Schizosaccharomyces pombe: one gene and its partners. The protein of the gene in region 3 binds, or shares a complex with, the protein of the main gene of each other region. Each region holds a gene or a part of one and is shown on either strand. Other genes may lie near its edges. The genes, in order: spb70, spp1 and spp2.

The links.
Region 1: spp2 (region 3) and spb70 share a complex: the UniProt entries of both Schizosaccharomyces pombe proteins name them as parts of the alpha DNA polymerase complex.
Region 2: spp2 (region 3) and spp1 share a complex: the UniProt entries of both Schizosaccharomyces pombe proteins name them as parts of the alpha DNA polymerase complex.

What each region holds. Positions count from the first base shown.
Region 1 is NC_003421.2:285,423-289,177, forward strand, and holds the start of spb70 (DNA polymerase alpha B-subunit), read left to right. Parts: upstream 1-1,806; 5' UTR 1,807-2,217; coding exon 2,218-2,483; exon of another isoform or gene 2,484-2,524; coding exon 2,525-3,503; exon of another isoform or gene 3,504-3,545; coding exon 3,546-3,755. UniProt on the Schizosaccharomyces pombe protein: Accessory subunit of the DNA polymerase alpha complex (also known as the alpha DNA polymerase-primase complex) which plays an essential role in the initiation of DNA synthesis.
Region 2 is NC_003424.3:2,428,930-2,432,684, reverse strand, and holds spp1 (DNA primase catalytic subunit Spp1), read left to right. Parts: upstream 1-2,049; 5' UTR 2,050-2,067; coding exon 2,068-2,141; intron 2,142-2,225; coding exon 2,226-3,516; 3' UTR 3,517-3,709; downstream 3,710-3,755. Other genes in the region: drc1 (DNA replication preinitiation complex assembly protein), read right to left, coding at 578-828, 869-1,501, 1,558-1,687; tRNA m(1)G methyltransferase Trm10, read right to left, coding at 3,751-3,755. UniProt on the Schizosaccharomyces pombe protein: Catalytic subunit of the DNA primase complex and component of the DNA polymerase alpha complex (also known as the alpha DNA polymerase-primase complex - primosome/replisome) which play an essential role in the initiation of DNA synthesis.
Region 3 is NC_003423.3:3,315,956-3,319,710, forward strand, and holds spp2 (DNA primase large subunit Spp2), read left to right. Parts: upstream 1-1,817; 5' UTR 1,818-1,827; coding exon 1,828-1,993; exon of another isoform or gene 1,994-2,051; coding exon 2,052-2,247; exon of another isoform or gene 2,248-2,446; coding exon 2,447-3,038; exon of another isoform or gene 3,039-3,081; coding exon 3,082-3,507; 3' UTR 3,508-3,674; downstream 3,675-3,755. Other genes in the region: tif301 (translation initiation factor eIF3a), read left to right, coding at 1-1,226. UniProt on the Schizosaccharomyces pombe protein: Regulatory subunit of the DNA primase complex and component of the DNA polymerase alpha complex (also known as the alpha DNA polymerase-primase complex - primosome/replisome) which play an essential role in the initiation of DNA synthesis.

The DNA of each region.
Region 1 (3,755 bases), on a different chromosome or scaffold from region 3:
GCGGGAACCAGTTGCGCGGAGCATGCGGGAAACCAAGGTGATTACGAAGGATGCTAAAGAGCGTAGGGATTAGGCATCGCTATTTAGTATAAAGTAAATTAATGGGTTTCACTAATACAGACAGTGATCTCGGTAGATTTGAACGTTACGTGTGTGTAAAAATGTAATATCGATCTTTGTGGTAAGCTCGCAATATTTTTTAGTGTATAGCATTCCTTGAAAATTAAGATGGATTAACTATACAAGCAGCAATTGCTTTTGAGGTATACAATCAAAAGGCCATCATCCTACCCATTTTATATGAAAGCAAATGAATAGACTGCTGACGGGGCAACACTTAAAGAGTAAAGAATAAATACAATACGTAGGGCTTGCCTATCAAGTATAGATGGTGTAATCCTTTTTTTCTTTTTCGCTTTTTGTTTTTTAGTACTTTTTCACACCTTTATTGAAACATATCTTTATTTTTTTTGATAATCATACTCTATATTTTGTTGCTTTATTTTTAGTGTCTTTTCTTCTAAGCTCTCTTTAGTAGATAAAATATCACCGATTAAAATGATTACAAAAAGTTGGGCTTTTCATTCTCTATATATACATCTGCTATATACGTATTGAGTTTGCTACCAATTCTTAATAGCCAGCCCTCTATTACCACGAAACATCTGATTCAGAAAGTCAAAATCACTTTCTTCCGTGATTAATTGTTTATCTTGCTGCTTCCGCTAAACTGTTACTTTGCAAACCTGACATTCCATAGTATCGGAAAGTTTCTAAAGCTTTTGTAAACAAGACGGTCGTTCAGCCCAGGCTTATTGCTGACGATGTTAGTTGTATTATTAAATAATTTCTTTGATGAAAAAAGAAAAACTCAAACACCATGGGAAACATTTAGTAGTGTATGAGAAGATTTGTTCTTTCACATAGCTTAATGTTCCAGTATATATTTATTGAGTTGAAAACGAAATAATTTTTAACTTAGATATTGTTTTTTTTTTTTAAATTATTGTTTGGCTTCTTATTTTTTTTATTGCATTTTATTTTATTTTGGGTTACTTTTTTTTTTTTTTAAGTTGAAAATTAAACAAATTAGCCAAAAAAAAAAGAAATCGAATATGCTGAATTGAGCTATAGGGTTGGATCCTATTAATTAGCAAAAATTCCTATAGTTTAAAAAAAAAAAAAAAAAAAAACAACGAAAAAAAAAGAGAAAAAAAGAGAAAAAATATAAAACATATTTCTACTTCACTTTGTACAATCCATATTGTCTAGTCAAGTAGTTGCAAGCCTGTTCTGTATAGCGAATGTCAACTACGCAGTTTATAATATTTAACGATACTTAGGATTGCAGTGAGTTTTCCTCGTGATCAATTATATTGCAATAAACAGGTATTTTAAGTAGCAGCTGGGTATATGTATTCTGTTATGTAGGTCTATTGTTAGTTATCACTAATGTAGCTTATAACCGAACTGAGGAACGAAGTTCAGTTGATTTCAGTTTATAGTATTTGAAAAAGTCTTTAATTGTAACTGATATTTATATTATCATAAAAGGTACTGTAGCTGTCTTTTTAACCTACCATGTAAAGTAGATAGAGCAAATAGAACATTACAACATGTGACATATAGTGATACTCGGACACATTGTAACATAGCTTAGTTTCAGCTGACAAAACAAAAAAAATACATACTACACTATTTATCAGTAAACTAATATTACATAGTAAAAGCATCTCGTTAAATGTTTAAGGAGGTTTAAAAAACACATTAAACCACATACTACTGCGTTTCTCCACAGTATCCACGGAGCGTCCCAGTATATCCGAGTTTTTATTAGAAGAGCGATTTAAGTAGTTGCTTTAAGAAGATACACTCTCCTATCCTAAAAAGGTTTACTCATAATTATTGGTGGGTACCTCTTTAAGTGGTTGAACTTTCTGCTATACGTCGTTTTTTCTATCTGTTGTTAGGTTGGAATCGCGTAAACAAATTAAAAAAAGCAACTTCGAAAATCTATCACTGGGCACTTTTGGACTGGGATTGCTAGTACGTGTACTTGTATTTTTTATTCTTATTTATTTCTTTTTCAGGACCCACATCACAGTACAAAATTAGTCACTTCAAATTAATTTGCTCGTAATATTCCCAGGTATTCATTTACTGTCTTTTTTTTTGGGTATCTTGTTTCATTTTCAACTTCATTCAATCTTCAAAAAAATGGAATTTCCTATCGATGATGAGGAATTGCTAGATGAGCGAAATAAACTTCTCCAAATTTGCAATATGGACGAGCAAACAATGTTCTACAAGTGGGAGTCCTGGTGTTTGCAACGAGGAAATACACCAAAACTCGACCTTGACACATTCAAGGCCTTTGCTAAAGACATGAAATTTCAAATGGAGAGGCAGGTAAAAGCCACACTTAAACAGAATCCTGAAAGAAAATCGATAAAGCAAATCCCGGGAATGAATATTGATAGCATGTGCGTACATTAGCAAATGGTTTTAACTAACAAATATCTAGACTAGGTCTACCAGTGAAGACCACCGCATCAGGCGACTCGTTGATGCAAGAGTCTAAACCATCTACCGAAACTTTCGAATTGAATTCCAGTGACGCTGGAAGGGTTTTGGAAGTTTTAAATAAAGAATTAAAAATTGTAACTTCAAAACCTTCAGCTCCATCCAAGCTGGTTATCGTAGCGAATTTTGATCTCAAGGCATTTAATTACAGGATCATGTATCAAAAGCTTTATGATTCTTCTGAAGTTCTGGATGATCGCATTGAGCTTTTTAGTGCATTAACTTGCAGAAAATACAACATAAGTGATGAAGATTTGGCAAATCCTAGCGAACTTACTCAAGAACCCGTTGTAGTTGTAGGACGAATTGTTGTCGAAAGTACCAATTTAGGTGGAAGACTCAACCAAAATAGCATTTTACTTGAAAGTTCAAGACGTCTAGGCGCTGGTGTTCGAGTTCGTTTGAAGGTGGATGATCTACCAAGTTACTCAATATTTCCTGGTCAAATTGTTTCAGTTAAAGGATCCAATCCTAGCGGTAACATGTTTATCGCCAAGGAAATCCTTCCTATACCTCCTTTGCCGTTCCCAAGTTCATCTAAACAGGAGCACGCTACCTTTGTTGCTAATACAAATAATCAGCCAATTTCTATATATATTGCATCTGGACCTTGGTCTCTCCGTGATGATCTCTCTTTTTCCCCTTTAAAATCAATGATTTCATATGTAAATAAAAATCCTGTTGACTTGGTTATTCTATGTGGTCCATTCTTGGATATTAATCATATACTAATACGTACCGGAAACATTACAGGAACGTCTGCGACTTCTTTGGAAGAGTTGTTTAAAGAGCGTGTCACACCCATATTAAGCCAGCTAACTTGTCCTTGTATTTTAATTCCTCACATCAATGATGCTGCTTCAGATCATCCTGCATGGCCACAGGATGCATTTAATCGGGTGGCCTTAGGTCTTCCATCTGTATGTTAAGTTGTATAATAATTTTTATTGACCAATCCATAGAACTTCAAATGCTTCCCGAATCCTTGCATGTTTTCCATTAATGATGTCGTCTTTGGTGTGTCAACCAACGATATACTCCTTCACACATCTAGAGAAGAGTTATTTCGTCTACCTTCTCATGGTAACTTATTTGCACGTTTGGTTTCTCACGTACTTCACCAAAGGCATTTTTATCCCTTATTCCCTGGAGGTTCTCTTGAAAAGTGCAAC
Region 2 (3,755 bases), on a different chromosome or scaffold from region 3:
GAGGAAATTTGGCATCGCTGTCCCCTAAGGATGAATAAGCTATGCAAATCCATGTAAAGTAATGATGATATTCAGCTTTCATGTATTCCTCATTTCAATAGATCCAAACTTATTTGAAGCTGTTTTTTTATTTGTCTTTCTCGCCAGCTTCAATATTGAAGGTTCGATTTTTTTTGTACTTCTTCTTTCCTTACGTCCTCATGATATTCGTATATCAAAACGTTCCAGTCTTAGATTTAATGTTGGACGAATGCCTACGTAAAAATATAAAACGTTTATCGTTCGATAGTAACTAATTTGATTTTACCCGAAGATTAAGAACAAGAAATATATGATTCATTCAAACTTTTATATTTCCAAAATTTTTTTAACAGGATACCACAAACTCATGATGTATTATTTCATTTAAATCTCAAAAACCCACAAAATCTATTTCCAGGTTTTATTGAATGCATGATTTATTAAATATATATACCTCTTTAACATTCATTGAAAAAGTGTATATCCTATTAAGGAAGATCAGAAAGTATGTGTTTTTTTAAATACAACAGCAAAGTTCCGATTGACAAATTATATGTTAGCTTCTGTGACGCCGAAATTTACGTTTTTTTAATTTGTAAGAGGAATAATTCTGGCTTACTTGTTTTCCAATAACAAGCCCGTTTCTCATAATCTTTTTATTTTGTCGTTCACTCTGCAGATCTAAAAATGGTGACGAATCTTTGCTAGCAGTTGTATCTTCATTGTCGTCAATGCCATTTTCCGCATCTTCGTCTATTTCAGGAAGACCTTCTAAATGACTTTTGGAAAGATTCATTGAAGGGGGCACTAAAACGTTAGTTCAGGTACAAACAGGAGAAAACCTTACATTTAACAAGACGATTTTGTCGTTTAATTTTTTTCTTCATAGGTTGTGATATGTCTCTATCTACAAGGCTTTCTGAAGATGAGCTACTAAAGCTTTCAAACTCCTGCAATATCTTCTCTTCATTTGATCCGTAATCATCTTCAATATCTTTTAACTCACGAAGCATTTCACTGAGACTTTTTCGGCATGGCGCATTAACTCGAAGTAAGTTAGGAGATGTATAAACTTGAAGGCGATATGAAGAGGGGGTTTCAAGAACGGTGGGAGTATGTTGAGCCACAGGTTCGGGATTTTTTGATGGAGTAGTCGGTATCATAGTTGATGAAATTTCACTAGTGTTATGTTTTATATCCGAAATTTGATCCACATGAGAATCTGCAATGGGAGACATGTCTTCAAGAAGGTTAAGTACTCGACGTGACAACTGTGGAGTAGGACCTAAAAGACTTTTATCCACAGTTTTCGGAGTAACCTGTAGATAATCATTTCGGGGCGCTTTAGGACTCTCGTTCGCTTCAGTTTCAGCACGCTGTTTTGTAGGAGTTTGAAACTTAAAGTCGACCTTTGTTTTTGCTTTTTTAGGGGTAATGGAGGATTCGCGTTTCAACTCGTAGTATTGCTTATATAAAAGCGCTAAAAAAGTTCGTTAGTTTGCTTCAAAAATTCAAGTGTATCTTTGGCTTACATACCTATTTCTGGTTGTTTCTTCACATCCTCCTTAGAAGGTTTGCAATTGTTCGTATGGACGTACTCATGTTCCCACTTCTTTAAGAGCGCTTTTATACTAGATATTTGTTTAGTTCGTGATTCATCGTGCATGATTTGCCAATTAATGCACTGCCTGGACCCAATTTCAATTTTGTAGTGTTCGATTCAAACAACTGCAAAAACAAACTCAAAACAAAAAGAGAGGCTAATCTACATAAACATATATTTCTTCTAATTCTATATGTGGAGAAATACCATTGCACAGAGTTTGATACGTATCTCGAAATGCAAAGTTGAAATGTTAATTATGCTTTAAAAGTAAAGTAGATGCACTAATGAATGCTCCATTTTACTGCTGAATGTTTACGCATACGTTAAGCAGTTTTTTAAATTTAAATAACGTATAACGTTTAAGTACGCTGTCGTTTCCTTTTGATTTATGGTTGAGCTGTATGTAAATAACCTTTGTTTTTAGCTAAACTTATTACAATATGACTGTTCAAATCGATGAATTGGACGACAAAGATTTGGATGAGATAATTGCAAACGGAACACTTGATGGCGCGTAAGTGTGAATACTGAACAATCTTAACTATGGACTCGATTGAGCCTCTAAAATAATGAAAATTCTCTAACAATTTTCTTATAGTAAACAGGGAGCTGTGGATTCAGAGACGATGATTCAATATTATCGCCATCTTTTTCCGTGGAAATATTTATTTCAATGGTTAAATCATGGTCCGGTAGTCACTAATGATTTTGCTCATCGGGAGTTCGCGTTCACACTTCCTAATGATGCTTATATTCGTTATTTATCTTTTTCAAATTGGGAAGAGTTAAAAAAGGAAGCTTTAAATTTATGCCCAAGCCGATTTGAAGTTGGACCCGTTTATAGTGCCAATCCCAGGGACAGGAAAACAATAAGGAAGTCAACATTTCATCCGCTTAAAAAGGAACTCGTTTTTGATATAGATATGACTGACTACGATGATGTACGAACCTGCTGCTCAAAAACAAATATATGCGAAAAATGCTGGCCATTTATTACGATCGCAGTTCAAGTTTTAGATATTTGTTTTCATGAGGACTTTGGATTTAAACACATATTGTGGGTATACTCTGGTCGAAGAGGTATTCACGCTTGGATTTGTGACGAAATTGCTTGTTCTTTAGACGATCGGTCTCGTAGAATGATTGCCAGTTATTTACAGGTTGTAGTAGGTAATCCTCAAGGTGGCGTACGACTTATTAATAACTTAAAAAGACCCCTTCACCCACATTTGACTCGTTCTCTCAACATTCTCAAATCGGCCTTTGTAAAAATTGTCCTTGAAGACCAAGATCCGTGGGCTTCTAAAGAAGGAGCCGAAAACCTTTTGAAATTACTACCAGACAAGGATTTAGCATCTGCTCTTCGTAAAAAATGGGAGGTTGATCCTGAACGATCTAGCAAAAATAAATGGTCCGACATTGACACTGTCTTAGCATCTGGTTCTATTGCCTCTATATCTCCTTCAGTAATTGCGATTGCCAAGCAGGACATTGTTTTAACCTATTTGTATCCAAGATTGGATGTTGAGGTTTCTAGACATTTAAACCATTTGCTAAAATCTCCATTTTGCGTCCACCCCGGAACTAGTCGTGTTTGTGTTCCCATAGATATAGAGAGGATGGATTCTTTTAATCCTTTGAAAGTACCCACTGTGAATGATCTTTTGCAAGAGTTGGATAAAAATTCCCAAAATGATAACGGCCATGGTCCAACAATGGAAACTAATACAACAGAAAACCAAAAAGATAATGCTAGGGGACAATCAAACAAGGGGCATGGCTTTTCAACTTCTCTCAATCCTTATACGCTGTACTTTAAATCGTTCAGTAGCCAGCTTTTTAAAGAAACAGTAGGAAATAAAAGAAAACATGAGAATTTGGAATTTTAAAATCGTATTTCAACAATCGATTCAAGCTTTAACTAAAAATTTGGGCATACATTTACTCATGAAAGGATGGAAGCTCTGACTTCTATTTACGTGGAGCATATTGTTTTCCGTTAAATCGACAGTAATAATATATTTTTTAATACCTCTTTATTTATCCTTTTTTGCTAAATACATTATAATAATAAAAACCAAAACAAATCAAAAGCATAACTAGTATGATTTTAAACTAGCGATTTAAT
Region 3 (3,755 bases):
GTGTTTTGATGCGTTTTGATACCGATTTCTGCCTTTTACGCAAGCAACAAGCCGAGGCTGCCTACGAAAGGGCTCAGGCTGGTGTTGAACAGGAGCGTAAAGCGGTCATTGCTCAGCGTAGTCTTCTCGAATTACGTCGTGGACAGGCTGATACACTTGCTACTCAACGTGAAGCTGAGCTTGCTGCTCAACGCGCTCTCAAACAAAAGCAAGAATCTGAAGCCGAGTCTCTCCGCGTTCAAGAAGAAATTAATAAACGTAATGCTGAAAGGATTCGTCGTGAGAAGGAAGCTATTCGCATTAACGAAGCTAAAAAGTTGGCCGAGGAGCTCAAAGCTAAGGGTGGATTGGAAGTCAATGCCGAAGACTTGGAGCATTTGGATGCTGATAAATTGAGAGCTATGCAAATCGAACAAGTCGAAAAGCAAAATAAGAGTATGAACGAACGTTTGCGTGTTATTGGAAAGCGTATCGACCATTTGGAACGTGCTTATCGTCGTGAAGCTATCCCATTGTGGGAAGAAGACGCAAAACAACAAGCCGAACATGACCGCGAAATCTTTTACGAGAGGGAGAAACAACGCAAGGAAGTACAAGAGCGTAAGCATGAACAAGCCATTAAAGACAAAAAGGCTTTTGCTCAATTTGCTTCCTATATTCATGCCTATAAGCAAAATATTGACGATGAACGTGATAAAGCATATCAGGAGGCATACGCCAAAGCTAAAAATGTCATTGATGCAGAGCGCGAAAGGCAACGTAAAGAAATTTTCGAACAAAAATTGGCTGAGGCTATTCGCGAAGCTGAAGAGGAGGCTGCTCGTGCTGCTGAGGAAGAGGCAAACCGTGAGCTTCATGAGCAAGAAGAAGCTCAAAAACGTGCTATCGAGGAAAGAACTCGTGCAGCTAGAGAAGCTAAAGAACGCGAACAGCGCGAAATGGCTGAGAAATTGGAACGCCAAAGACGTATTCAGCAAGAGCGTGATGAAGAAATATCTCGTAAGCTTGCCGAGAAAGCAGCTGCTAGAAGAGCAAATATTGGCGCATCTTCACCTAGTCCTGGTGCTTGGAGGCGCGGCGGTGCTAGTGCTGGCGGTGTTTCACGAGACTCTCCAAGGTATTCTCGTGGTGGCTACTCTCGTGGTTCTGTTCCTCCTCGTGAGACCCTTGCTCCTTCTAAGGGAGCATATGTTCCACCAAGCAGACGTAATCAACAACAACAGTAGTAAACCTACTGTCTATAAGAAAATAAACCTGTCGACAATTAATTATTGTCGCAATTGGATATTGGAGTCAAGTCTTTACGATGCATTATCTAATGTCACAGCTGATAAATTTAAATGAACTAATGTGTTCTCCTATTGAAAGTTGTAAGTTCCTTTTTCTTACAAGGGTAGTTGGTTACTTTCATGCTATTGGAATTCATGAAAGCGGTTATGTGTATAAAAAGAGCCTTTTGTAGCTCTATTTAATAGATAATTATCGTTAACCTTTGAACTTTTTTTAATTTGTATAATACTGCTTAAAGCTTGACTTGTTAATTGTAAATGTAGAACGATACTAATCGAATAAAGATGTTACATGTCAAGTTTATAAGCGACGATGAGTTTTTACAGTTGACGTTTCTGTAGTATGCATTTCTCATTTCAATAATTCTGAATACAACGAGTGAAGAAATAATTCATTAATTATTAGCAACGTGTTTTGTATTAGTACCAAAAAGGTTAAGCAGCTTAAAATATTTGTTTAAAGACACTCAAAGTAAAAAGGTTTCTTGGTGAGAGGCACGACAATTTGTTACCGCAAATAGACTCTTCGCTAACCACCATGTTCAGAACGACCAAAAGTCGAGTAGTTGAAAAGAATCAAAATTTTTCTAGTGCTAGTTTTGAGAGTTTAAGTTATCCTACGCGACTTAATTTTTATAAGAAACCTCCTGTCTCTGAAATAAGCATTGAAGAGTTTGAAACATGGGCAATAGACCGATTAGTTGGTATGCTTTCCATTTTCTTTATTATTTTCTATTCTTTTGGAGTAAGCTAACTATTTAGTTTTGGGTGAAATTGAGTCAGCAATGCTCCGCAATAAGACGAAAAATGAATTGAACGGGATTATAAAAAAGATACTGGATAAACGTCTGCCGATGAGTAGCAACATGGCTAGGACTGTAAAAGGAAACTCCTTAGATGAAGAAAGAAGGAAAGATCATTATTCTCATTTCATTCTGCGCCTGGCTTTCAGCAGATCGTAAGTAAAAATGTGCTATATTTGAGTGCTGTCTGTCGAAAAATATCTCATTTAGACTTATAAATGCGTTCGCGTTATGGCATAAGTAGTAAATTGAACATAAAGTGGGTATCAATTTGCTGCTTCAGTTAAACAGAAAGCATTATATATATGAATACATTTAAACTTGCTTTTATTCTTTTCCTAACGCATTCATTAGTGATGAATTACGAATCAGGTTTTTAAGAGCTGAATCCACGTTATTTCGGTTTCGATTTGTGAATGAGGAAACCCGAGAACGTCAAGCGTTTATAGATAGTCTTGATTTTCAATGGGAATCTGTTTCACAAGAAGAAAAAGACGTTTTTTATGAAAAGCTACAGGCTTCTTCTCAAAGAAATATAGAAAACGAATCTTTCTTCAAAGTACCTTTTTTTAAAGTTCCGGATTTAGTAGAACGAAGGGCTGTTTTCGTTCACAAGGGATACGCTTACGTACCATTTTCGGAACAAGTAAGTCTAGTTGTTGAAGAGTTTGAAGAAAACTTAAAAAAAGCGCTTGAGTCTACCGCAAAATCTCTTCCTAGGCTTGATGAAGACGATCGTCTTTTGCCAATTCTCAACCATTTGAGTAAAGGATTCGTTGCTCCCGAGAGTTCAATAGTTGCTCCTAAATCTGGTGCTATTACTGCTGGACAAGTAGACAGTTTTGTTTCACATTTTCCATTATGCGCCAAACATTTACATGAAGTACTTAAGCGTGATAAGCATCTACGGCATTTTGGCCGTCTTCAATATGGGCTATTTTTAAAAGTATGAAACTTATTTTTTATGTAGTAATTTACTAATTTTTCAGGATATTGGCCTTTCTGTCGACGAAGCTTTGGTCTTTTGGAGGAAAAGTTTTACAAATGTAACAGAAGACAAATTTAACAAAGAATATCGCTACAATATTAGACATACTTATGGACTTGAAGGAAATAGGAAAAATTACAAGGGTTATAATTGCCAGCAGATCCTTACAGGGCCTCAACTTGGTCCTGGAGATGCCCACGGTTGTCCTTATCGTACATATTCAGTAAATAATCTAGTGTCAGCATTGGCTTCCATGGGAATAGCACCGGATTCTGCCGGATGCCGTGAAGTTGTTGAGGCAGTTAAAGCGAGGCATTATCATATTGCGTGTACGCGTGTTTTTGAGCTTACTCATCCAAATGTCGGTTCGCTGGAGGAGAGCATTCACCATCCCTTACAATATTTTCAACTTAGTTTAGAATCATAAGCTAAGATACTTTTAGTTCACGATTATCATAACACATTTCAATTTTTGTACAATAGGTATTGAACACTTTCAAAATACATTTCATAGCTATAATTCAAAAATCTAATTACCGGCAGGCTGGTTATATAGATGAATAAGCATTGTTACTAATAAAAGGCAATAATACCAAATCAACGTAAAAAACATGATATTTAATTTAAAAAACGTAATTGAAAACTTTTTAAATTTATCATCAAAATGAAATTGTC